7 linked regions of the Cricetulus griseus genome follow. The protein of the gene in region 4 interacts with the protein of the main gene of each other region in a biochemical or structural test. Links are inferred from orthologs where the notes say so. Each region holds a gene or a part of one and is shown on either strand. Other genes may lie near its edges. The genes, in order: Sipa1l1, Net1, Tanc1, Dlg4, Kcna4, Pkp4 and beta-1 adrenergic receptor.

Region 1 (3,500 bases), on a different chromosome or scaffold from region 4:
CCACCCTATCACATCTCTGCAGGAACAATTGAAAGCCACACTCCTTGTTTCTTGATCAATGAGGACGATGAACTCATTGGAGATCCCGAGGAGGCAGTCGAATTCCATGGCCTTGTTGTAGTCTTTGGCCCGGACTGCCCACACAATGGCCCCCATACTACTGAGCTCAGCTCCTGGATAAGGCTTAGACTTTTCCTTCTTCTTGGATGCCAGAGAAATGAATGGAAATTTGCCAGAAGGGTCGATAGGTGTGTTGGTGACATTCTTTTCTGCCAGATCTTTCAGATATTCCTGGCGGGTCCTTGTTGCCATGGCCCGGAATTTTTCTGACTTATGAGCAGCATTTTCTGCATTAATCACTTTGGCCAAAAGGAAGTCCCTGAACACATTTGACTTGGGGAAAGTGACCCCTTTAGGGATGGGAGGTCCAAAAGAAGGCACATCTCTGGACCTGGTGACGGCCACGCTGAGAGACAAAGCAGGGAACAAAGATGGAGTGTGTGTCAGTATGTCTGTCTTCTATTACAACAAGGGAATAAAATGTGCTGTGACAAAGGGCTGGGGGTGTAGCTCGGCAGGAAAGCACCAGTGTAGCATGTGCATGCAAGACTCTGGGTTTGATCCCCAGTGCTAAAGGGAAGGGAGAAGCACTGGGAAAGGCAAAACAACTGCTCATTTTGTACAAGAAAGAACACAAAGGTCTGCTTAACGAGTGAACTTTTTCATTCAGGCTTTAGAGAATTCAGGTTTCTTTCCAGGCAGACCCTTTCTGTCTAAAAGCTTGAAAGTTAAAACCTCACTTCTTTAGCAGATGGGAGACTAGCTACAATGTCATCGTGGGGCAGGTGGCTTACTGTAATGTTCCACATAAGAGAATAAAAGCTACTTTAAATACCTACAGACTAATTCCAGTGGAGGATGTCATAATCACACAACCTTTCAGACAGAAAGTCTGTCAGAACACAAATGTGTCCTCCACTTTAGACAAGAAGGCTGCAGGCAAGACACAGCTCACCAGGGAAAAGTCAGAAGATACATGGCATGAGAAATGAGTGATTTCTCATCTCCATTTCTAATAATAAAGCTAACAGTATCTGTTGGCCCATGTGTGAGGCATCATGAGACCAGATTAACAGCATAACTTTAAAATAAAACCATTAATAGTAACTGTGATTTTTAGAGAATTGCCACAGTACTTGAAAATCCTGTTTTCAATTGAGCTATTCTTTGACCCAAATGTTCTGCTTTCCGTCTGTGATTCTTAAGGAACTCATTTCCCTTTCCCTGTTTCTTTAAGTCAGACTGACCTTAAAAAGCTTATTCCCATCACTCCCTTTGCATACACAGAGCTAAAAATTAGGCTCATGAAAAATGGCCATAAACACCTATGCTGATCTTCTAATTTTAATCTCAAAAAGAAAGATATTAAAATTTCCTGAAACAAGAGAAGCTGGGTAGAAATAGAGAGGCTGTATGTCACACATCAGTTCTCAAGATCACATGGTGCCCTCAGCCAGGGCTAAAAGTGATTGATGATCCCTCTCTCGGTGACTTAAAAGTGAGTCAGCCATGGCACTGCACTGTAAAATGTTTCCTCAGAATTGTCAAAAGAAAGGATATACCTGAGAGTGTGCTTTCAAAGTGAACTGAAGAATTCTACTTCATTTTCTTTACTTTAAAGTCTCGTCAGAGTCACACCTATAACCCCAGAACTCAGGCTATCCTGAGAGACACAGTGAGTTTCACAACAGCTACAGAATGAGACTCTGTCTCAGCCTCCCTCAAGTGGGATGGGGAGCCTCACTTTCGGATATTCAGCTGCTTTCAGAAAAATTTCTGTATCTTATAGAAATGGGATAAATAAACCTACAAGTGAAGATTTTATACTTAGAAATTATAGTTTGGTGGAATGGCAAAGCTACACTGTCAGGAGACACCTCGGATGGGATACATTATGATTTTTACAAGTTTATATTTAAAAACAAACAAACAAACAAAAAACACCACCAGCAGTCTCACCTTACGGCAAAGGGAGGTGTCAGCCAATACCCGTGTTCTAACTGCAGAAGTGAAGCCTCAGACTCCCCTGTGCATGCACTGGGATCTAATTACACACTATTACAAAGGCAGTTTTTCTTGTCAATGTGAACTGTCTGGCTTGAACACTGACAGCTGTGTAATTTTAATTTGATCATGTTTGCCTCCACCCCCCAACCCCCCTTCAGCCCTGAAGCCGAGCAGAAAATGCTGAAATCCAGGTTTGGTAGATTTTCTACAAGGAATCTGGTGAGGATCCAGAAATGTTTAATATCTTTCATTTTAAAATTGGCAATTTCTGTTCTTGCTAATTTCACTCAGAGCATTCTTCCTCAGGAAACAGCTGTGCTTTTATTTAACTAAGGAGGTGCACACGCTCAGCAGGGGTGTGATCGTGAGCACGTCTACTTGCCCTAAGCCCACAAGAGAATATAGATCTATTTATTAAGCGACAGAACTTTAGACAAACACACTCTGGCAACCCACCACTAATTAGAAGCTTCTAGAGCGAACTGTGAGAGAGAGAACCAAGTCTTTACTGTGTAATTATCCGTGATTCACCACAGATGGGAGTAAGTGATATAGACAGTAATCAGGTCTGCAATATTAGAAACAGAATCCTCAAGAAGGCGGTGAAGAAGATGGTAGCCTAGAAGGCACCTTTCAAATGGCTTTGTCTTAGACGCACTAACTTTCACAGCCCTGTCCTACAAGGTTAAAAAGCTCACGACACAGATACCATAGATGCTAAACTCACTATAGTAAGGCCTCATTTAAGCTAATTAGAACACTTGCCTCAATTCAAAAAGAAGTTTGTCTAGAATTTCTAAATATAGGTAGCTAAGATTACCTACAAATGGTTCTTGCTCTTTTAAAGGTGGGTTCCACAGGATCTCTTGTCAGCCACACTTACTTACAGTGCTGCATCTTGGCAATGATCTACCCTTTTCAAGCCTGCTCACCTGGCAGCATGGAGAGATGGGACTTGCCACCCAGGTGGGTGAGAGGCCAAGATGAGCTTAGAGACTGAAGCAGTTAGGGAAGGTCAGCACTAAAGGGGACTTTACAGAGGCTCTCACTCAGACTTCCATAAAATGGTGAGCTTCACCTCAAACTGGACTTCAATTTTACAAGGGAAATGTGTGTTCATTTTAGTCTATGGATATACTCTCCAAAGTCCTTGGAAACAACAGGGAGACCCAAAATGTATCTCCAGGTACAGGGGGCACAAATCTATCATTTTGCAGAAAACCACAATGATCATACACTGCAGGTGAAGAGTGTCAGGGCTGAAGTCAAGCTCTGAGCATTAACGACAGACCCCTGCCCACTCCACCCTCACCTCCAGGAAAGGACTCCAAACTTACCCTTTTCTCTCTTTGGTACCTGCTAAATGGGACCGTCTACACAGATCGCTGGGCCTAAGAGACCTCCAGCAGGCTTTATCTACTTGATCTGGACCA
Region 2 (2,572 bases), on a different chromosome or scaffold from region 4:
AAATCTGTATTCAGAAATTCTAGCTTCTTCCAGATCTTGGGAGATTCATATTCTAGTATATTACTCTTATGGGAACTAGGTTCTCTGGACAAAGGGACAATAGGTTTGTAGGCTAAGCTATCATCTTAGCTTAACATCTGAAAATAAGTATTGTGTTGGATCTGCATTCTCAAAACATTAAACACAAAACAGACTTAGGTAGCCCAGAAATTACCCAACACCCATCAGGTCAATAAAATGTCTTTTAATTGATTGCTGGGTGACCTGGTGATGCTGTGATTACAACTGCTGCTGGATAACTGGTTTTCATTACCACTTTGTGTTCACATATCCTGACAGAGTGCTGAGCACCTAGGAAGGGATCATCCTTATAGTAAGAGAACTCACCGGAAGCAGCTAAGCAGCTAAAAAGCAATGCAAGAGGACAGATATTAACATAAGCTAAACCCTCATGTTCCAGTGGATGCCCTCCTCCCCTCCAATATCAACCAGGCAAGAAATGTTTTGGGTTATTATGTGTGTGCTTTTTTTTAATTGTATAATTCATTTATACAAAGAAATCACTTGATTGATCTATTTACAGCCTTTTCCAATTTTCATTTTCACTGGAGATATATTTCACACGATGGGTAACAATGACTTGAACTGATGGCCAGTATAAATCTGGGCTGACACGGGATCTCAGTCCTCCTCCCTCCTTTAAAGAGCATGACCCCATTTCTAACACAAACATTTTGGAGTGAAGAATCACCAGCTTCATTTTTTTTAATGAAGAAAACCAATCAGAATTAACCTAATATGTTCAAATTTCCAACACATTTTACGGTTTCTTTTCAAATTCAGTATTTGCAGGCATGAGAAACCAAAGCAAATATAGTTCCCACCCCCTCTGGCCTTCTACAACTTCCTACATACCCTCAAGTCAGGCTTTCCTGTCTCCACTCCTCTGGATCAACCAGACATTTTTACCTTAGACAAACTCCCTTTTCCCTTCCCTTCTCTTCACTATTCCAGTCTCCTGCCTTCTCTCTTGCTTTCTAGACAACACAAAAACTTTCACCAAAGTCCTTCATGTGGTTTCTTCCAGTAGTCTAGAATATACTAAGTCATCTCATGGGTCTTCACTACCCTGACATGATACACTGTAAAAACTGCAGTTTTCTTAATTGGCTCAACAGTATGGCTTGGTTTCACTTAGTAAAACTAATACGATTAACACACACATACACACACACACACACACACACACACACACACACACACACAAAATCAGGAAGAAAAACTTTAAGGACATGCCAATTTAAAAAAGGCATCAACGTAAAAAAATAAAAGAAAATTCTAAAAACTACTTTACAATAAAAAATTAAATAGTTGGCAGAATAAATGAATGAAAAATGAGGAATGTGCAGTGAAAAACTGATCTAAGGCATTCCAGTTGATAAAAATGGAAAACACACTGAGTTTTATGGTTGTTTTCCAATGAAGTGGTGCTTCACTGTAAATTGAAGTATTTCAAACTCAAAAATCTTCCATGTAGATTGTAGATGTCATTATTAAAATTTCATTCATCATTTGAGGTTTAACAAGGAACACTGATAGAATTTCAGCATTAACAAAACTTTAAGTTTGGGAAATACTGCAAATATCACATTTGTTTGGAATTGGAAAGTCATGGTGAACCCAGTCAGGACAACGCTGGTTTCACACATATTCCTTCTGATAAAAAATACCAGGTGGGTATGTTCCAAATAGTCTATGAAAATACCTCTTTAAAGTCTGCAATTTAACAGTAATCTGTATATCTTTAGCTGCCATTAACAACAATGACGACGACAACAATAACAAGGGGGGGAGGGAGGAGGAAGAGAAAGAGAGAGAGAGAAACCCAAACCATGAACACATTACAGCTGGTACAGAGTAACCCTAGGATGCTCCCATTACAAGAAAAATAAAAACTGTACAAATTTATAAATAAACAGCCTTCCACCAGAGAACACATTTACACCAGAGTCTCTTTCCTGTTGCCACCTGACTGGGCTTTGTCCCTTGCTCTTCGTAAGCCAGGCTGCACTCGATGTGCCTTCATGCTCTTGGTGTCTTCTGCTGTCTGTACACTGGAGCCACATTCCAGTGCACTTTCATCATCTCCCTGTGTAAACCCGGGAGCCATGGATGACCTTCGCTGGGCTGGGAGATTCCCAGCACTGGGGTTGTTCTCACACTCTTCGTGGAGCTCTGGTAAGCCCTGCAGCTCTAGGGGGCTGGCAGCCCGCTGGAAAGGGGCAATGGCAGTACGAATACAGTTGAACCACTGCTGCTTATGGAACACGTCATTGGCTTGCAGTGTGTGGGACTGGCCTGGAGAGGGGTCTTGGAAGCGGACTCTAAAGATATTTTTAGCTGAAGGAAGAAAAAAGGAATCAAGACTAAGAACGTGCTCATACAGTCTTAAGGAAAGTTCTAGTACTTAAGTGACATACACACTCTCTTAAAGACAGTCACTAGCCAGAGGTCCCTATCAACTCCCTTTTGTGGCAATCCATGACTGGGGAATGGTTTTATTCTTAAAATT
Region 3 (3,500 bases), on a different chromosome or scaffold from region 4:
ACAAAAGCTTATTCATCAATGCCCACAAATCCTTATTGCTCTACTAACAATGGTATCTCAAATGCTTGCCTTCCCCCAAGAAGGGGTCAAGTAAAAGCAATGAAGCCCTCAAAGGTATCTTCCTCACTCCCTGCAGCACCCAATATGGCAGGGGTGGGAGGCTGCTGTCCCCAAGGTCCCTGCACTCTGACCTTAGTTCGCTCTGGCTCTGAGGACCTAGCTTGCATCCCCTCTCCCATTCCTGTCCAGCTTTTCTTTTGGTCTAGACAGGTTATAGCCTTGTCACACACATGCAGCTCTGTCACTGCACAAGCACCTTGGGAGGCCACTGAGCTCCCTGTGTTTTGTGTTTGTTTTTCAAGTAAAAAGATGGAATTGCCACTACCTACATATAAGATCAAGATAAAAAAGGGAAACTGCTTAATACCGGGAAAAACCGTTTTCCATGTAGCCCCTTGTACCCAGAACTGCTCACGGTCAAAGAGCCTCCATAATAGCAAACCAAGACAGGGGCACTATAGTTCTTCCCTGTATACGTGCTGAATGCAAGTGATGCTCTACTAGACACATATGTGGGCCTCCACACAACCTGTAGCTAATTGCCCACTCTGCTCCAAGGACCTCCTCAATGTCTCCTTCAGGGGAATTGTGTGCACTGAGGTCCTAACTTTCTGTCTAGCTGTCACTGATAACTCTAGAACAGCAGCCGTTCTACAGAAACTACCCTGGGTTTTCCTATGCCTCGGATGCTCAGTGCGTCTGAAATTAAAGCAGAGCCTAACTGCAGGGATTAAATTTTTGAATGAGAATGGCCTCCATAGGCTCATACATTTGAGTGGTTGAGCACCAGTTGGTGGAACTGTTTGGGAAGGATTAGGAGGTGTGGTCTTATGGGAGGTTATGTGTCACAGGGTGGGCTTTGAGGCTTCAAAAGCCATTTTCATTCCCAGTTATCTCTCTGCCTCATGCTTGTCGATCAGACATGAGCTCTCAGCTACTGCTCTAGTACCTGCCTACTGCCATGCGCCCCACCACGATGGTCATGGAGTCAACCTTGGAACTCTAGTTCCTCAATTAACCCTTTCTTCTGTGAGTTTCCTTGGCCATGTTCCCATCACAGCAATAAAAAAACAAGATGCTAATACTTCCTGGTGTGAGTGTCCCTCTCCCACTTAGCCTTTGTTCTCTGCTTACCTGGAGAGAATGTTATAAGGTAAAGGCCAGCAAGATGGCTCAATGGTTGAAGGCATTTGCCTGCAAGGCTGGGGACCTGAGTTTAATCGCTGGGATCCATGTGGTTGGTAGAAGGAAAGAACTAACTCCCACCAACTGCCCTCTGACCTCTGTGTGCAGCTTGGATTGGCACACACAAATAAAATGTCATTTTTTTTTTTTTTTTTAAGAAGAAAATCAAAAGCAACTTCAGTTTTCTGGATGACTGGGATTAAATGAGACATAAGACAGAGCAGAGCAGGAGGCAGAGAGAAAGAGAGAGTGAGCACACACTGCCAGCCGCCCAGCAGGTAATCTTTAGTCCTTACAGGCAAGGCTCTGAAGCCTAATCTCTGGCCCTGCTGACAGAAGTGGGGTTCACTGACCTAGTTTGGCTCCTTTCCTAAGCAGCGTAACCACCACAGCGGTGTTCCGACAACCGATGGCTCTGTCCAGGGGGCGCATCCCACTGTGGTCCACGTGCTCGATCACAGCTCCCTTCTCCACCAGATACAGCACCTGTAAGCAGCAGGGGCAGAACAAACTTGAGGAGCAGTCCCTGGCTGAAGGAGGGCGGATCTTCCTGTCACGCAGTGTCAAATGGAAAGAAAACCGATGTGACACCAAGGAAAGGAGGGAGCTAAAGCCCATGGCTAGACTCTCTCTGCTGAGGTGACTCTGCTACCAGTGATGAGGAAGGCAAGCCGACGGGTACAGACAGGTGTGAGCGGAAATACATGACCTGTATCTGACCCCACTCACAAGGCCACAGACAGGACTCGTGGTCACCTTTTCACCTGCAACTAGCAGGGAGGCTTCTGCAATGAGCTCAGGCGTGCTCCAGACACACAGATTCACAGTGTGGGGGGACAAGCTGCAGACATGAGCAGCCTGGAGCCAGGTGGGCCAGCATCATTCACTTTAGGGTTTAAGAAAGAGATGACACTGTTAGGACTGTGAAGATGGTGTGTCTGAGGTCACGGTATAACAGCTGGGCATGATGAAATAGCTGCATGTACTCAACATAGGCAATGCTAAGAAAAAAACTACTTTACGTCCAGCTTAGATGGTTGTGTGAATGCAACTGGACATATTTCCTACCAATCTACTGGGAATTCAAAACGACACTAGAGGTTACTATCCAGAATATAAAAAGAGACCCAAGTAGCTCAATGATGCTCTGGTTTGGAATGTACATCCTGACAGAGCATGGCATCTGCCCTGGCAGACATCTCCCAATTCTCAGTTTACAAATTAAAATTATAACTTAAAACAATTAGTATATTCTAAATTAACTATATGTTTAATTAATATTTTTCTTCAGGGAAAGTGGTTTCTGAATGGCCTATGCAGGGATTTTATTTATATGAAGCACATGATAAAAATAAAGCTACAAAGAGGCATGCATGTTCAACTCCATGTCTGCAGTGTATATACAATTGGTAGGGGTAGGGCTTTTGGGCTTGGAAGAGTGCATAAAAACCTTGACTAACAGTCTCAGATTGGACTGCATACAACAGAGTTATAGACAATTGAAAAGATTGCACACACACAGAGGCCACAATCAAGACAGCTTCACAGAGCCTAGACATCAGAGCAGGCCCTTCTTTCCATCATCCCTATCCTGCACACAGGAAAAGGCCCACACACCGGCAATGAACATCTGTTAGTACGCACCGTTTCTGCATCACCATAGAAGGCAGCCAGGTCCAAGGGAGTGCGGCCATTTTTGTCTGTCTGATCTATCTCAGCTCCTTCTTCAACTAGGTACTGGACCACAGCCCTGTGACCCTTCAGACATGCCCAACTCAATGCTGACAGGCCCTCTTTGTCCAGGGAAGAAAGAGCAGCACCTGAGAGAAAAGTCCATTTATAGCTGGTTGGCAGACATGAAGATGTTCTAAAGAGACACTGTGTTTCCCAATCTCACTATCAGACTGTTGAAAAATGGATCCCAAAGAATGAGATTTTCCCCAAGCATCTCACACTGAGAGAAGGAAAATGCACCAGCCAGAGAGAGAACTTATTTCCCAAAAAGAGATTTCCCAGTTTTAACAACTTGTTAGGTCAGCTAACAGGACAAGATGGAAGCCCAGACAATGATGGGCCAATGGCATGTGAGACCACATCTTGACGAGAACTGATTAGATGTTCATGTCCTTGGCCTTTAAGTGAAACTCTGATTTCACTTCAGGACCCCAAAGATGGACTTGAAGAGGCTGCAGAACCTTTTGTCCCTCCTCCCAGTGTGGTCACACTGAGTAAATTTCCTTTGTCTACTTTCTACT
Region 4 (4,172 bases):
GCACACCTCTGCCTGCAGGCCAACACGAGAGCTGCTCAGCACTTTATAACACAACAGACTTTGCCCATCTATGGCCACGCTCTGAGCCCTCTAAGATGGAGCCGAGCCCTAAGTTCAGCGAGTGAGGTATATGAAGTTTTTACGTTCTGTACATGACTCTGTACATTGGTTAATTCCAGACTACTGTAGTCAAGGAGCCTCGTACTTTTAGGAATAAATGTGCTGACCACAGGGATGAGGCCAGGAATGGTCAGGGACAAACTGAGTTCTCAGAATCAATGACAAGTCTGATGGTGACCGGCACAGCTCCAGCAATTCCCAGGCCTGTTCATTACCATCTCTGCTGCCCTGGCTTGATCACTCCTTCCCAGGACTCTTGTAAGCATTCTATTCTCGGTGAGGTAAGGAGGGATCTGAGGTTCTCTGACATGCCCCCATCCCAGGCCCCCACCTGTGTCTCTCCACTGCCCTCCCTCACCCCAAAGAACCAGGCCACACACTGGGTTTCAAGTATCTGTCTCTTCCTTTCACTCTCTCAAAAGAAAATAAATAAATAAATAAATTGCAGAAGGCGGCAGCATTTCCTGTCTTCCCCTGGCTCCCAGACACCCAACCCCTGACCCCTCGCCCCCCACCCCCTCCCATAGTCCCCACTCCCTAGACCCATCCCTCCCCTTTCCCCCAAAAAAAAGAAAAGAAAAAAAAGAGAAAAAATCCCAGAAATAAAAAAAAAAAAGCCACAGTTAGACCTTCCACTCATGCAAACCGGCAAAGAAAAAGGTGGGAGGCATGTGGAAGACAGGGAACCCACAGCAGAGTCCCTTACTTCTCCCCCCCAAAAACCACCTTTGAGAAGAAAACTGGAGAAAATAAATGAGAAATCAAATGACATGGGGAGTGATGATGGGGCAGGGGTGACCCCAGCCCCTGCCTCAGGAGAACGTGGAAGCCTGTGGCCCTGCATCCCCACAGCGGGTACTCCTTGAGAGGGGCCCTGACTTCTGGAATGTATGTGGGAGAAAATGGGGAGGGCAGAGGCCCCCAGTGGGTCTGTGTGTGCATGGGGGCGGCAGGGGTAGGGGTCCTAAGGAGCAGGGGCTCAGAACCAGGAGCCCAGCGCCCCCCAGGCCCCAGGTTCCCAGGGTCCAAGAGCCCTGTTTTGGGGTACAGGGATACATGCAGAGGAGTGTCCCCCCTCCAATGGGCTAGATCCAGTTAGAAAGGAAATAAATAAGAAGGGTGGGAAGGGGGGCTGGGCTATTCAGTCCAGACCAAGGGCCCAGGTGATGGAGGCAGGGCGAGTCCAGGCCAAGCCAGGGCAGGAATCACAGTCTCTCTCGGGCTGGGACCCAGATGTAGGGGCCTGAGAGGTCTTCAATGACGCGCTTCACTTTGTGGTAGATCTCCTCAAAGCTGTCGCCCTCCACGATGGCTGCCAGTGGGGTGGAGCAGGGAGTGAGGCCAAGGTCCCAAGGACACATGACCAAGGAGCCCAGAGCAAGGAGCACCTTCCACTCCTTCAGCCAGAAGCCCTGGTCCCTCGCCCACAGGCAGGATACCTCTTCCCACACCGCATCTCAGCAGACTGCCTGCACTCACGGCACACAGGGAAGTGGGTGGCCTCTCACCTGAGAAGCACTCTGTGAACTCCTGCTCCAGTTTAGTGGCTCTGTCAAAGGCTTTCCGGGCTTGCTCCTCTGTGATCCGCTTATTGATCTCTCTGTCAAGAGGGAGAGATGCAGATCTGAGGGGTGGGCCCCTCTCCGCATCTTTACCTCCTCCATCCTGGCATGCTAAGTTACTTCTTTTCCTTAGTCGGAGCACAAAGCAAACAACATAATTTCTGATATCCTCTGGGGCTGGCTACAAATGAGCTCCGGAAACCCACCCAATCCAGAACCTCTCTGGAAGCAATCCTTCCAGCCTTTAGCCCCACAGAAGGGATCCAGACTCCAACTTCCAACTGCCTCTGAGGTTCCGATTTGCCCCAGCCTGTGTATGCCCCAGGGGGCTACTGAGAACTGTAGTGAGTGCTGCCTGGCCCGAGGCAGGAGAAGTGGGGAGAGGCCTGCCATTGCTTCCAGTCCTGGCTCTCAACCTCAGTCCAGCTCTCTGAGCTCAGTGGGAATTGCTGTCCAAGGTTCTGAGAGGGCAGATCAATGTAGGGGCCTGGAGAGCCCGTGATCACAAGTGTAGGGAGCAGAGGGGAAGCCCCCAGGACCGTACTCACAGCACATTCTCCAGGGAACGGGGACGGATGAAGATGGCGATTGGGTGCAGGTGGGCCGCCTGCAGCCGCCGCACGGCATTGGCCGACACATCCAGGATACAGTGCTTTCCCTGGGGGCGGGGTGGGGGAGGGACCAGCAGGTAGCAGGGAAGGACAGACAGAGGTGCCAGGAAGAAACACAGAATATAGAAAAGGGGGGGCAGGAGGTTGGCCAAAGGGCAAGTGACAGATGTCAAAGGACATGTAAGCAACAGAACAGAAAGAGGTGTGGACAGAGTGACCAACACAGAGGAAAAAGAAATGGAAGATGCAGAAGCCAAGCACACAAGAGGGCAGAGAAGGGACGGAACAGAGTGTAGAAGACAGAGAGGACCCAAAAGATGAAGGAAGAGCAAGGGCAAGGGGGGCAAGTCAGGTGGTATGCACAAGGCAGACCAGGGCAGGTACGGAAAGGCAGTGAAAGAATTAGGATAGAGGGAGGAGGGAGAGGAGGACAGACAGAGGACAGACAGATGGAAGGAATGGGAGAGACAGATGGGAGGGAGGGGAGGCAGATGGAGGAAAGAACCACAGAGGGAGGGAAGGCAGGGTGGGGAGTAGTAGGGAAAAGGAGTTAAAGGAGGGGTGAGAGAAAGGGTAGTGGAGACCCCCCATTATAGGAGGGAGAAATGAGCAGAGGGGAGTCGGGAAGAAAGGAGGGAACAAGTTGGGGAAGGCCAAGCCACCAAAGGCAAAGCCCCAGGAAGACAGGAGAGATGGGGCAAGGAGTGGGAAGCAGAGGAGAGACGGGACAGATGGCAGTGCGGAGCGTGGGGTCAGGAAGCAAGGGGAGCAGGCCACAAAAGAGCAGGCGGTCAGAGTTGCCCGAGAGGAGAAGGAGGTGGAGGAGCGGAGTGCAGACCCAGCAGGGAAAGAGACAGAGAGAGAGAGAGTTAGAGAGAGCTGGAGGGAGGTGGTGGGGTAGGGAGGGGCAGGAGGAAGAGGATGCAGTGCCCACCAGCTCTCACCTGCTCTGCTACCTCTCGCACAGACTGGACACTGGTCCCGTAGAGGTGGCTGTTGTACTGGCCAGCCTCAATGAATTTGTGCGCCTGAATGTCCTTCTCCATTTTCTCCCGGGAGGAGACAAAGTGGTAATCCCGGCCATCTATCTCATATTCCCGCTTGGGACGCGTCGTATCTGCCAAGAAGTCATCCCACCCGACAAAGATCTAACCACCATCCCTTAATACTAGCCTACATCAACCAACCCCCCAGCCACCGGAGTACCCGGATGGTCCTTGGTAGGATGCTGCTGGGGACATTGAGACTAAGGCAAGACAGAATTTGCCACCCAGGGGCCTCCCAGACCCGGACCCAGCCTTGCCTGCTGGAAAACTGGGCAATCTGTGTCCCACTGTACTCAAGTACCATGGCCCCGACTAAGTAAGACTCCTTGGGCCCCCCAACTCCAACTCCATCTCTATGCAAGGCCATCGTACTCACGAGGGACACAGGATCCAAACTTGTCGGGGAACTCGGAGAGAAGGTCATCATTGGCACGGTCTTTGGTGGGCCCAAGGATAATGATGGGGCGAGCATAGTGCACTGAGAAGAAAGAGCCGGGCTTAGGCAGCAAGCAGAGTGGGCGGGCAGGACAGCTGAGGCTGGGGCTAGGGCTCACCTTCCATCTGCGTCACTGTCTCATAGCTCAGAACCGAGTCTTCTCGACCTAGTAGGAGACAGGGCATCTGCAACGGGCTCCAAGACAGGGGACCTGGAGACCACCTGGCCTGCTTTCCCGAGAATGTCAAGGGAAACTCCACGTTCCACTCATCCCACAGCTTTTCCAGTTTCCCTACCTACCCTGTGATCCAGAGCTGGAGCCCCAGTCCTAGAAGAAAAACCAATCTTATGGTAGGTTCAGAATTTAGCTCAGAAACCACCCCCACCACTTCACCAC
Region 5 (3,903 bases), on a different chromosome or scaffold from region 4:
CCAAAGACATAGGAGATGTTATTAAAACACTGATAAAAGACTGCTCAAATTCATCAGTTCTTACATAGTAAATACTTCAGAATGCCAACTTTTCCAATCACAGCACAATTCCCAACAATGTTGACAATTTACTTACACACCCGTGTGCACACACACTCTAACACACACACACACTCTAACACACACACACACACACACACACACACACTCCTCAGGACCATCTTTACTATTAACATCTTTTCCCATTATGTGCAAAATTCTTGCATTCTATTAAAAAATATAAAGATAAATCTGCTCTATTTAAGCCTCCCTCTTCTCCAAGATGTATCATTTATTTGATATGCAATACAAATTTAGTCACAATTATGCCGTGTATTACCATTAAACAGTGTACTACTGTATGCAGTGCAATCATTTGCATATTTCATTTTCATAACTGCACTCTCTATGCATGAATATATTTGGAGATGTGGGGAGCAGTGGCAGGTGGAGAAAGCGCTTCACACATCGGTCTCCACCGCTTTTGCGTTAGAACAGTTGTTTTTATCTGTCTCGCTATCATCCCCCTTTCCCTGACACTTCTCTTCCCTTCCACACAAAGATTCCTTGACCCCTTCTTCCATCTCTAGATACTCTGACTTGTCCCCTAGGGATGAAGAAGTTGAACTCCGAAATTTCTTGAGCAAATTAGAAGGGAGGTATGGGCAACTGACTGCATTTTGTGTCAGCTGGGTCTGTTCCTCATTTTCAGTCTCTCTGTGGTAGAAATAGTTAAAGTTAGACACAATCACCGGCACAGGCAAAGCAATGGTTAAGACACCCGCAATGGCACACAGGGACCCCACAATCTTTCCTCCCACTGTGATGGGCTTCATGTCCCCATAGCCCACAGTTGTCATGGTTACCACAGCCCACCAAAACGCATCCGGGATGCTTTGGAAATGGGTAGTGGGTTCATCTGCCTCTGCAAAATACACAGCACTGGAAAAGAGAATGACCCCAATGAAGAGGAAAAAGATCAGAAGGCCCAGTTCCCGCATGCTGGCTCTGAGGGTGTGGCCCAGGATCTGCAGGCCTTTGGAGTGTCTGGAGAGTTTGAAGATCCGGAATACTCGAACTAGACGAATGATCCTGAGGATGGCAAAGGACATGGCCTGCTGCTGCTGACCATTGCCACCTCCTTGCTGCTGGGCCAGATCAGTGCCCAGAGTGATGAAGTAAGGCAAAATGGAGACGATATCAATGATGTTCATGATGTTTTTGAAGAAGAGAGCTTGGCTGGGACAAGCAAAGCATCGAACCACGAACTCAAAGGAAAACCACACAATACACACTGTCTCCACGATGAAGAAAGGGTCATTGAATATTGTGTGCCCTGAGTTGTCCAGGTGGGGTGCCGATGTGTCATTCAACAACCTGCTGTGCCCACCTGCACTCAGGGCCATGATGAGATCCCTATCATCCCGGAACTCTGGCAAGGTTTCCAGGCAAAAAATGACAATGGAGATTAAGATGACCAGGACAGATACAATGGCTATGCCCCTGGCAGGGCTAGAACTCTCCGGATATTCAAAGAGAAGCCAAATCTGTTTTTTAAATTCGTTCTCTGGCAGAGCCCTGTCCTCCTCTTCTCTCACAAAGCCCTCATCCTCCCGGAACTTGAGCAGGGCTTCCTCTCCCAACTGATAGAACTTCACCTCCTCAGTGAAGATATCAAAGGGCACATTGACTGGCCTCTTCAGACGGCCTCCTGACTGGTAATAATATAAAATGGCGTCAAAGCTGGGTCGGTTCCTATCAAAAAAATACTCATTGCGCAAAGGGTCGAAGTACTGAGTCCTCTTCTCAGGGTCTCCCAGCAGAGTTTCTGGAAACTGGGCCAAAGTTTTCATTTGGGTTTCAAAGCGTAGACCGGACACATTTATCACCACACGTTCACAGCAGTCACTGTAGCGGACTGAACTGTAGCCACCACCACCTCCATCATCCTGTGGCAGCAGGTCTGTGTACGAACACCCATCCCCATGGTCATCTTCACTATAGTAAAACCTTCCCTCCTCTTCCTCCTCTTCTTCCTCCTCCTCGTCTTCCTCTTCCTCACTCAGCTCCCTCAGGATCTTCTCTTCAGAGCCACTGGGCATCAGGTCTGAGCAATGAGGAAAACTGCTCTGCCGATGGTGGAGTTTCTTCTTTTCAGTTCGCTGACGCCTCCTCCTCCGACTACCTCGGCTACCTTGAGGATCATGGGAGGAGTAGGCCCCACGCATCTGGTGGTGATGGTGGGGACCGCCACCAGAACCCCCAGTACCTTCCACAGCAGCCGTGGCAGCTGCCACAGCAGCAGCTGCAGCTGCCCTGGAGTGAGCAAGTCTCTCCCGCTCACGGGCCCGGGCCTGGGCGGCATAACCATAAGGCATATGACTGTTGCACCCTGAGCTCTCTGCACTCACCATTGCAACCTCCATGGTGGTGGTTTTGGGAAATGGCTAGTTCCAGTTGTAAGAGAAGAAGAAAGAAAAATAGGGCAGCTTATTTTCTTACCAAATTAAGGTAAGTTTGGAAGCCTTAAGCAGATTGCCTGGAAGACTTAGGATATTTTCAGTACAACTTTGCATTTTCTGTTTTTAAATCAGCACACCCCATGCTCCTTCTTCTCAGAGATTCAGCGTTGCTTTCCAGAGCTTGGCTAGTCTAGACAACAGCCTAGTGCTCCTCAAACATAAGTCATGAAATGTTGCGGTCTCCCAAACACCTACGTGTTTTGGGGTAGATGTTCAAATCTGGAAGTATGTCTGGGATGCGCTGGGTGATGACGCTACAAGACTCAAAGGCAGCAAGTATCTGACAGCCAGAAGTTGTGCCTAGAAAATGAAATATAATTTTCTGCATGGAAATTGTCCAAAACCCAGTCCATCCAATTTAAATAAAATGCAAATAAGTCTTTAGTCTTAGCACTTGCCGTGTAGTGTTGGCTTGACCCATGTTAAGATGTGCCTTAGAATATGTCCAACCATTGCTGCTCAGTCTATGAGGAAGATTTCCCAGGCTCTCTCTAAGATCATCAAAGGCTTCATGGACCCACAGACAACGCCAAGTGGTAGATAGAGGCAAAGACCTTGGAAGGCAGAGAGGGTGGAAGATGAGGCTCCAGCAGAGGCAAATCCAGCTCTGAGGTCTCCATAGAAATCAGGAAATGAAGAACATTCTTTGGCTAACTCATTCAGAAGAAGCACTTCACCTGAGGAGGGGTGGGAAACAAGCACAGGAGAAAAATAAAAAGAAGCAAAGCATAGAGAGCAAACAGCCCTTTACTCTACACGCACGGCTTCTCTTGTCCTCAGGCCAATTGGGAGGCACACACCAGGAGACCATAACTTTTCAAGAGCACAGGGCAGGCTGCTCTAAAATCTCTCCCACTCAACATCCATCTTGCTTTCTTCTTTGTTTATTAGTTCAGCTCCGTCTATTTTTTTTTTTTGTGGCAACTCATTTGCTTCTGTCCATTCTCAACCCACATGGTTCTTGCTTTTCTCTGCCCCTTCACCAATGCCAGGTTTTAATTCTCACTAGCATCCTCTTCATTCCACAACAGCAATGCTGTGAGTTTACAGCTGTTTCCATTATTCATTTATCTCAAGGAATTCTCTTTCAATTTTTTCACTCATAAAATGTTGCTGAATTAAGCACCCTTAAAAAAACAATTTTCTTCAGTTTAGATTCAAACTACTTGAATGAACATCAGTTACCTCATCTATAAAGTGTAAACAAGAGAATCCATTCCCTCCACTCCACCTTTGGAAGGACCAACTGAGATCATGGATGCTATTAGGATAGCACACTATCTTGCATATAATGAATGGCAATGAATATGACAGTTATGGATAACACAGCATTAAACTGTAT
Region 6 (3,500 bases), on a different chromosome or scaffold from region 4:
CGTCATTGTCCATCTGTCCTACCCCCACTCCCCACCCCCATAGATAGTGAGTGGCAAACTGTACATCTGATTTCATACTTACAGCCTCTGATATGATGGCTGTTGCTTTGCATAAACTGTGCCTTGTAGTTAACTTGACTAGACTGCATTTATTCTGTGAAGAAGGAAGTAGCTTATTGGAAAACGAAGCTGTCCCAGGATTTGTACTTTGTGAAATGAGGAATGTGAAAGGCTTTGACAGAAAGAGAATTGCAGCAGTCATGTTAGGAATCACATGCTCCAAGATTGTCAGCGGGGATGGTTTCTGGGTAATACCATTTTCCCCATCAATAGCCAGGGAGCTGTGTGCTGCCACTGTGGCTGGCTCGTGTTCCTGGGTAGTCACAACTAGCACTCTGGGTTCGGTATGATGATTTCATTAACAGGGACTGTTAAAGCCTTTACCCCACCCTGCTATGCCTCAAGCCACTCTTCTGTCTCCTTCCTTTTCTCTTGTTCCTTGGTCAGCACAGACCAACCAAGAACTGACTCTCAGTTCTTATCTATCATTGTCTTCTAATGATTCTCCCTAAGAAAATGTCCAGCTAATGTCTTACATGGGAAAAGAAATACAGTGAAGGCCACTATGGAGCAAAGATAAATGTGATCATTCATATTCAGAGTCAGTTCTTTCCCAGCTATGACAATCTGGCCAAACCCCCGCCCCCAGACCCCAACCACTGCCCCAAAACACTCCATAGAGAAGTAACTCTGACAGTGGAATTGAGTTTCTATTCCTAAGCACCCATGCACATCTGTGCAGATTTCTCAGTACAACCTTGTGTCTGTATGCCTTGATACAGTTATGTATGTGAACAAAGGTCATAGTGAGAAGAATCAGCTTTCAGAAACAAAGCAAGGCATTTATCTTCCAGATTCTGAATTGTCTAAATCTCCCTTTTATACCAAACCACCCTTCTTAAAGGAGAACTAGCCAGGATCCAACTAAATGGGCACCATGCAAGATAAAGTTCTGAGAGACTGTGCTCAGAATGAAGTCTTTGGGGAAGGTAGGAGGAGAAACCAAATTAATGAGGTCAAGAAATCAAAGAGGAGAGGAGTAGGCACAGAGGCAGAGCAAAACACACACAGCATCAGTCTCCATTATTGACCACATCTTTATAGCATAGGGATTGCAGCGAAGGCAGCCCTTGGGCATACATTCGGGGTCTGTTCTTTACTCTTCTGCTGTCCTTTGCTTTCTCCTCTCCTCCCACAGAGACAAAAGCTGCTGTCTGCTTGCTACCTCCCCTCGTAATTTACATCCAGAGAAGGCTGCTCAGGCTGGCTCCAGGCTGGCTCCTTGGGTCACAGCATTTGGAGCAGCAGTGTTCAGTCTTGTCTGGCCCAGTGCTTGATGAGTTCTGTTCAGAGGCCCATAGACAAAGGCAGACATTGTCAGTCCCTTCTCTCCACAGGCCCACAAGTGTCCAGTGCTGACGGTTCTGTGAAGCCTTTGGAGAAGCTTGTCACAAGCATCAGGAGTGTGGGGCCCTGAGAGACTTCTGGGCAAAACAAGCCACCTCTCAGATTCGTTCCCATTTTTCTATGAATCATAAGGAGTTATGGCAGTGCATTAGCACACTTCATTTATTACTTTCTCCTATATGAAAAAGGGAATGGCAGTACTTGCACTTCTCAATCACATGGCAATAAAACTCTTTAAAGAGGAGAATGAGGCAAATACAATGACCCTTCATGCTCCTGGTTACTGTAGGATGCTATACTACACTGTATTTCCAGGAACTCTGTTAAAGCTGGGCTTCCCACTAACGAAGTGAAAATTGAAAAAAAAAAAAATACTAGAAAGGAGGCTTAATGAGAAATATGCCAATCTTTTGGGGAAAAGAAATTTTGTCTAAGTCATAAATTCTGGAAGCTTGTCATATCAGCCATTGAGTGTAAGGGACAATGCAAGACAAGCAAGCTCTATGAAGCTCACAGGCATGTTGTATTTATGACCCTTGTACTTGGGTTACTTCCCTGTGTCACCCTCCCCCTGGGAATAGTTACTTTGCCCACAGTTGCCTAATAGATGAATGGGGCTCTAAAATTGGAAAGCTGAGTCTTGAGACTTTGAAATACGCTGTAAAAGCCAGCATGTGTGTGTCCAGCACTTAGCACAGGTCCATCCCAGGTCAGTGGCAAATGTGGAGCATAGATGTGGGAAGCAGGTTGGGCTCCCGGAGGTTAGAGCTCCTGTGATTGTTTCAGTCTTAAAGCTGCAGAATCTGATCATTTTTACTTGAAATTTCTCTTTTTTAGGAGTTCTTTGGAATTTATCGTCATGCGATGCTGTAAAGATGACAATCATTCGAGATGCTCTCTCAACCTTAACGAACACTGTGATCGTTCCACATTCTGGGTGGAATAACTCTTCCTTTGATGATGATCATAAAATTAAGTTTCAGACCTCGCTGGTTCTGCGGAACACGACAGGTTGCCTGAGGTGAGTACTTTCTTCCCAATTAGTTACGTGATTAAAGAATGTGTGTCATAAGTAAATCGGCTATAGACGGTGCTGCTCTCTGGCTACACATCCAGAAAGTGATGGTTCTCCTTCATAGCAAAGTGTGGAATTTGTCACTGTGTGAGGAAACACAGTGAGCACAGGCTGGTGGCCCAAGGCAACTGTCTCACATGTGACTCTTCTGTGAATTATTTTAGAAGGTCTGTTAGTCTGAGGGCACTGCAGCAATCCAGCATTTTCTACTGTAGTTGCCTTTTTTCTGACTATTACAGACTTATTACAGACCTGGTATGGCCTGGTTTTTGTTTCAGTTCCAATTATGGTCACTGAAGTTCAGGTTTGTTTTGTTACTTTTAAAGAGAAGTGGAGTTGTGTGGCTTAAACAGCTATTGCTTTTGAGTTCTATAAATAAGCGAGCCCAAATGCTGTTCATTAGTCATTACCTTTAACATAAAATCTGTGATTCTTTTATGTTTTCAGAACAGCTCCTTGTTTGCTTAGCCACTTACATGTGGCCCTGTTCCCCAGCCTCCTGTTGCTCTAGGCACATGAAACAGAAGCCTTGGCAGAATGGCAGGGGGACCTGCAGAGCCCAGCTTTCCTGTTCCACTGTGAGCTTTAGTGTTCATCTACAAAATAGAGGTGATAGTACTGTAGGGCACAGGGCCCTGAGTTCAAGTCCCAACCCTGAAAGGAATAGCAAAAATAAAACATCTAAGCACCTCTGGGGCAGAGAGTTGGAGCCACAGGGAGAGGACCTGTGCTACTCTTCCAAAGCCTTCTGCACTGTGACAGAAGGCACTTGTGTCACTGGTCCTGGGTGGGATATTTAGCCTGTGGTCATCAGGAAACAGCATTCCATCCCCCACCCTAGATCCAGGGATGTGTGATCCGCCCCCACCGCACCCCCCCCCCACTCCTCAACCCCTTAGGCAGTGAGTACCCACATCAGGGTACAGCATTGGCTGGCTCTTGCACGACCTGCTGTAAT
Region 7 (3,349 bases), on a different chromosome or scaffold from region 4:
CTCCCACCAGCACCCCAAACTGGAGCTGACTACTTAGGTTCCTAGATGTGGAACCGGAAGCCAGGTGGTAGACTTCATTCCCCCTTTACCCTCCCCACCTAGTTTCCACTCCGGTCCTTGCAGAAAATGTCAAAACCCATCTGGAAAACAAAACAAAACAAAAAACAAAAGCTAAAGGTGTATCACGAGAACACACAAAAGGCCGAACCCCAGAGAGAAAGGAACCCAAGACAAATCAGAAAGCCACACTCTCCCAACTCCTCCCAAACTTCCCTTTTTGCGCTGCGGACGGTCCGGGGCTTTGCTGTACGTCTGGGATGATTCAGATTCATCTGTGAGTTCACCTGCTTTCGGTCTTGAGTAAACAGAGGTCTCCTCCCTCCTCTGCGGAGCGGCTCAGGGGCGCCCGGCAAGCTCTCTTCCTCTAGGGACGCGGAGCCTGTGTCCAGGCCGGGACCGTGGGGCCGGCGTCCGTGCGCCCGCCGGGAGAGCCTGGCTCTCTACACCTTGGATTCCGAGGAGAAGTCCCGGCGCCCCGGCTCGTCCAGGCTCGAATCGCTGTCCACAGTCGTCACCCCGCCGTTGCAGCCAGCCCAGGGCTCCAGCAGGCGCGCGGGTGCCGTGATCCCCGCATCGTCTTCGTCGTCGTCCGAGGGAGCTCCAGGGGACGGCGGCGGCCCAGCTCCCGCCAGGCAGCCCGAGGCGCGCGGCCGGTCCCCGTGGGATGCGCGGCGTCTGCGGACGGCCCGGCGCGCGCAGCAGAGCAGGCGCTGGAAGGCCTTGCGGAAGTCGGGGCTGCGGCAGTAGATGATGGGGTTGAAGGCCGAGTTGGCGTAGCCCAGCCAGTTAAAGAAGACGAAGAGGCGATCGGGCACCAGGTCGCGGTGGAAGGCCTTCACCACGTTGGCCAGGAAGAAGGGCAGCCAGCAGAGCGTGAACACACCCATGATGATGCCCAGCGTCTTGAGCGCCTTCTGCTCGCGCAGGGCCACGAGGCGCGACGGCCGCCGCTTGCTGGAGCGCCCGTTGGCCAGCGAGTCTGCGGGGCGCGGCGGCCCTGGCGACGGCGAGGGCGCGGGTGAGGGCGGCCGAGCGGGGCCGCCGAGGAAGCGGCGCTCGCAACTGTCGATCTTCTTCACCTGCTTCTGGGCCTCGCGGAACACCCGCAGGTACACGAAGGCCATGATGCACAGGGGCACGTAGAAGGAGACGACGGACGAGGCGATGGCGTAGGCCCGGTTGGTGACGAAATCGCAGCACTTGGGGTCGTTGTAGCAGCGGCGTGCCTCGTCGCTCTCGGCCCGCCACCAGTGCATGAGGATGGGCAGGAAGGACACCAGAGCCGAGATGGCCCACACCGTGCACACGAGGGCCCGCGCTCGCGCGCGCGTCAGCAGGCTCTGGTAGCGGAAGGGCGACGTGATGGCGAGGTAGCGGTCCAGGGCGATGACACACAGGGTCTCGATGCTGGCCGTCACACACAGCACGTCCACCGAAGTCCAGAGCTCGCAGAAGAAGGAGCCGTACTCCCAGCGGCCCCACACCACGATGGTGGCCCCGAAAGGCACCACCAGCAGCCCCATGACCAGGTCGGCGCTGGCCAGGGACATGATGAAGAGGTTGGTGAGCGTCTGCAGCCGCGGGGTCTTGGCGATGGCCACGATCACCAGCACGTTGCCCGCCACGATGAGCAGCACGATGAGCGCCAGCAGGAGGCCCATGCCCGCAGTCCACGGCTGCGACAGCGGCGCTGAGCCCTCGCTGGTGGGAGGCAGCAGCGAGGCGGGCGGCGACGCGAGCACCAGCAGGCGCGCCGCGGTGGCCGCGCCGTCGGGCAGCGGCGCGGCCGACGACAGGTTGCAGGGTTCGGAGGCGCCCAGGGCGAGCGCCCCCGCGCCCATGCCGAGCTGCGGAGGCCGGGGGCGGGGGGTGTGGCGGGGCTGGGCCGCGGCTGGGGAACACCCCAGGAGCCGGGGCTGCGGGGCCCGCGCGGGAGGTCGCGGCCAGGTCAGGGCAGCCGCGGCTCGGGGCCGGAGGCATGGACTCCGAGCGCCTTCTCCGCCGGAGCCGAGCGCTGTCGCCGCCGCCGCCGCCGCCGCTGCTGCTGGAGCCGCTGCCGCTGCTGGAAGAGCCGCCGGGACCTCAGCATGTTTCTGAGCGCGCGGGGCCGACAGCTCCGGCCCCACACCCCACCCCGCTGCCACCCCCCTAGCCAGCCCCGGGGCCGCGCGTCAAGCTCCCGCAGCCAATCGCCGCCAAGGCACGCCCCCGACAACGGTGCCCCCACCCCCCAACACCCGGCACCCCCTCCTACCCGCGATTGAGCCGCTCCAAAGATTCCGGGCGGACTGCGGAGCCAGCATCTCCCCGGCACCCACCGGCTGCAGCGAGCGCGCCCTTTCCGGCTCCGGCAGGCTTCTACCGGAGTCGGGTCTGCTGCGTCCCCGCCCCCTCCAGGGGGTCCCCGCTCGCCCCAGCACCAGCTCTCTTTTTCCCTCGGCGCGGCGCGGCTCCCGCCCTAGCTCTCCTCCTTCCCACCGGCGCCCCGCAGCTCCCGCGCCGCTCTGCCTCCTCTGCCGAGTTCCCTGCAGCGAGGAGGGAATCTTGTTGGCGTTCTCAAGACGCCCAGTGCCTTGAACAGCCTGTCTGCTGGGGTTGGAGGAGTTTAGCTGTGAGACTGGTTCTGCCATCAGGCAGCCTGGCCCTTCCCTGCTCGAGAGGGGACCCGGCCAGCCTGACAGCTTGGGGGGAATGGGAAGTGGGTGTTCGTGGTTAGAGGAAAGTTTCCAGCCAGGCCGGTTGCTGGAGCAGAGCGCGCATCTGTCAGAAAGGCTCTCTGGCTGTTCTCGCTCAGAGCTGTGCTGTCACTCAAGCCCAGTCAATGGAGAAAGGAAGTGAAGGTTTCTGGGTGTTAACAGTCAACGCCAGGGACCAGTTGGACACACACACACACACACACACACACACACACACACACACACACACACACACGCACGCACGCGCGCGCACACGCGCACACGCGCACACGCGCACACGCGCACACGCGCACACGCGCACACGCGCACACGCGCACACGCACACACGCACACATACACACACACACCTCCCAACCCCAGCCAAGGAGAATGACGCCACGGTGTGTGCCGAGTATGAAGGAGAAGTTTGCAACATGCAGTCTAGAGTAGATGACACCACCGCCGCCACCCCGCGTAGAAAGGACACACCGAATGACGCTTCAGAGTTTTTGGCTCTGATTTTAACACCTTGACACCTGCATTTGTGCTCTGTCGCGCCCATTGGGTTTTATAATCCGAGCTGAGTCAACACAAGGAGCTATTCCTTTTGGTTG

Evidence for each region.
Region 1: the proteins of Dlg4 (region 4) and Sipa1l1 form a complex in vitro, tested with the Homo sapiens proteins (2 studies listed by BioGRID and IntAct, with this or other methods). The link is inferred for Cricetulus griseus from reciprocal best matches to the Homo sapiens genes DLG4 and SIPA1L1.
Region 2: the proteins of Dlg4 (region 4) and Net1 interact in a biophysical measurement, tested with the Homo sapiens proteins (2 studies listed by IntAct, with this or other methods). The link is inferred for Cricetulus griseus from reciprocal best matches to the Homo sapiens genes DLG4 and NET1.
Region 3: the proteins of Dlg4 (region 4) and Tanc1 interact in a test that uses a peptide from one of them, tested with the Homo sapiens proteins (2 studies listed by IntAct, with this or other methods). The link is inferred for Cricetulus griseus from reciprocal best matches to the Homo sapiens genes DLG4 and TANC1.
Region 5: the proteins of Dlg4 (region 4) and Kcna4 form a complex in vitro, tested with the Homo sapiens proteins (8 studies listed by BioGRID and IntAct, with this or other methods). The link is inferred for Cricetulus griseus from reciprocal best matches to the Homo sapiens genes DLG4 and KCNA4.
Region 6: the proteins of Dlg4 (region 4) and Pkp4 interact in a test that uses a peptide from one of them, tested with the Homo sapiens proteins (2 studies listed by IntAct, with this or other methods). The link is inferred for Cricetulus griseus from reciprocal best matches to the Homo sapiens genes DLG4 and PKP4.
Region 7: the proteins of Dlg4 (region 4) and beta-1 adrenergic receptor form a complex in vitro, tested with the Homo sapiens proteins (2 studies listed by BioGRID and IntAct, with this or other methods). The link is inferred for Cricetulus griseus from reciprocal best matches to the Homo sapiens genes DLG4 and ADRB1.

What each region holds. Positions count from the first base shown.
Region 1 is NC_048598.1:121,315,936-121,319,435, forward strand, and holds part of Sipa1l1 (signal-induced proliferation-associated 1-like protein 1), read right to left. Parts: intron 467-3,500; coding exon 1-466.
Region 2 is NC_048596.1:228,910,487-228,913,058, forward strand, and holds the end of Net1 (neuroepithelial cell-transforming gene 1 protein), read right to left. Parts: intron 2,401-2,572; coding exon 2,000-2,400; 3' UTR 501-1,999; downstream 1-500. UniProt on the Homo sapiens protein: Acts as a guanine nucleotide exchange factor (GEF) for RhoA GTPase. May be involved in activation of the SAPK/JNK pathway Stimulates genotoxic stress-induced RHOB activity in breast cancer cells leading to their cell death.
Region 3 is NC_048599.1:115,043,385-115,046,884, forward strand, and holds part of Tanc1 (protein TANC1), read right to left. Parts: intron 3,066-3,500; coding exon 2,890-3,065; intron 1,732-2,889; coding exon 1,599-1,731; intron 1-1,598. UniProt on the Homo sapiens protein: May be a scaffold component in the postsynaptic density.
Region 4 is NC_048600.1:83,889,557-83,893,728, reverse strand, and holds the end of Dlg4 (disks large homolog 4), read right to left. Parts: intron 4,104-4,172; coding exon 4,076-4,103; intron 3,942-4,075; coding exon 3,894-3,941; intron 3,818-3,893; coding exon 3,716-3,817; intron 3,411-3,715; coding exon 3,238-3,410; intron 2,341-3,237; coding exon 2,231-2,340; intron 1,721-2,230; coding exon 1,629-1,720; intron 1,433-1,628; coding exon 1,326-1,432; 3' UTR 501-1,325; downstream 1-500. UniProt on the Homo sapiens protein: Postsynaptic scaffolding protein that plays a critical role in synaptogenesis and synaptic plasticity by providing a platform for the postsynaptic clustering of crucial synaptic proteins.
Region 5 is NC_048599.1:70,439,945-70,443,847, forward strand, and holds Kcna4 (potassium voltage-gated channel subfamily A member 4), read right to left. Parts: upstream 2,466-3,903; coding exon 501-2,465; downstream 1-500. UniProt on the Homo sapiens protein: Voltage-gated potassium channel that mediates transmembrane potassium transport in excitable membranes. Forms tetrameric potassium-selective channels through which potassium ions pass in accordance with their electrochemical gradient.
Region 6 is NC_048599.1:115,574,902-115,578,401, reverse strand, and holds part of Pkp4 (plakophilin-4), read left to right. Parts: intron 1-2,304; coding exon 2,305-2,488; intron 2,489-3,500. UniProt on the Homo sapiens protein: Plays a role as a regulator of Rho activity during cytokinesis. May play a role in junctional plaques.
Region 7 is NC_048596.1:4,713,453-4,716,801, forward strand, and holds beta-1 adrenergic receptor, read right to left. Parts: upstream 1,902-3,349; coding exon 501-1,901; downstream 1-500. UniProt on the Homo sapiens protein: Beta-adrenergic receptors mediate the catecholamine-induced activation of adenylate cyclase through the action of G proteins. This receptor binds epinephrine and norepinephrine with approximately equal affinity.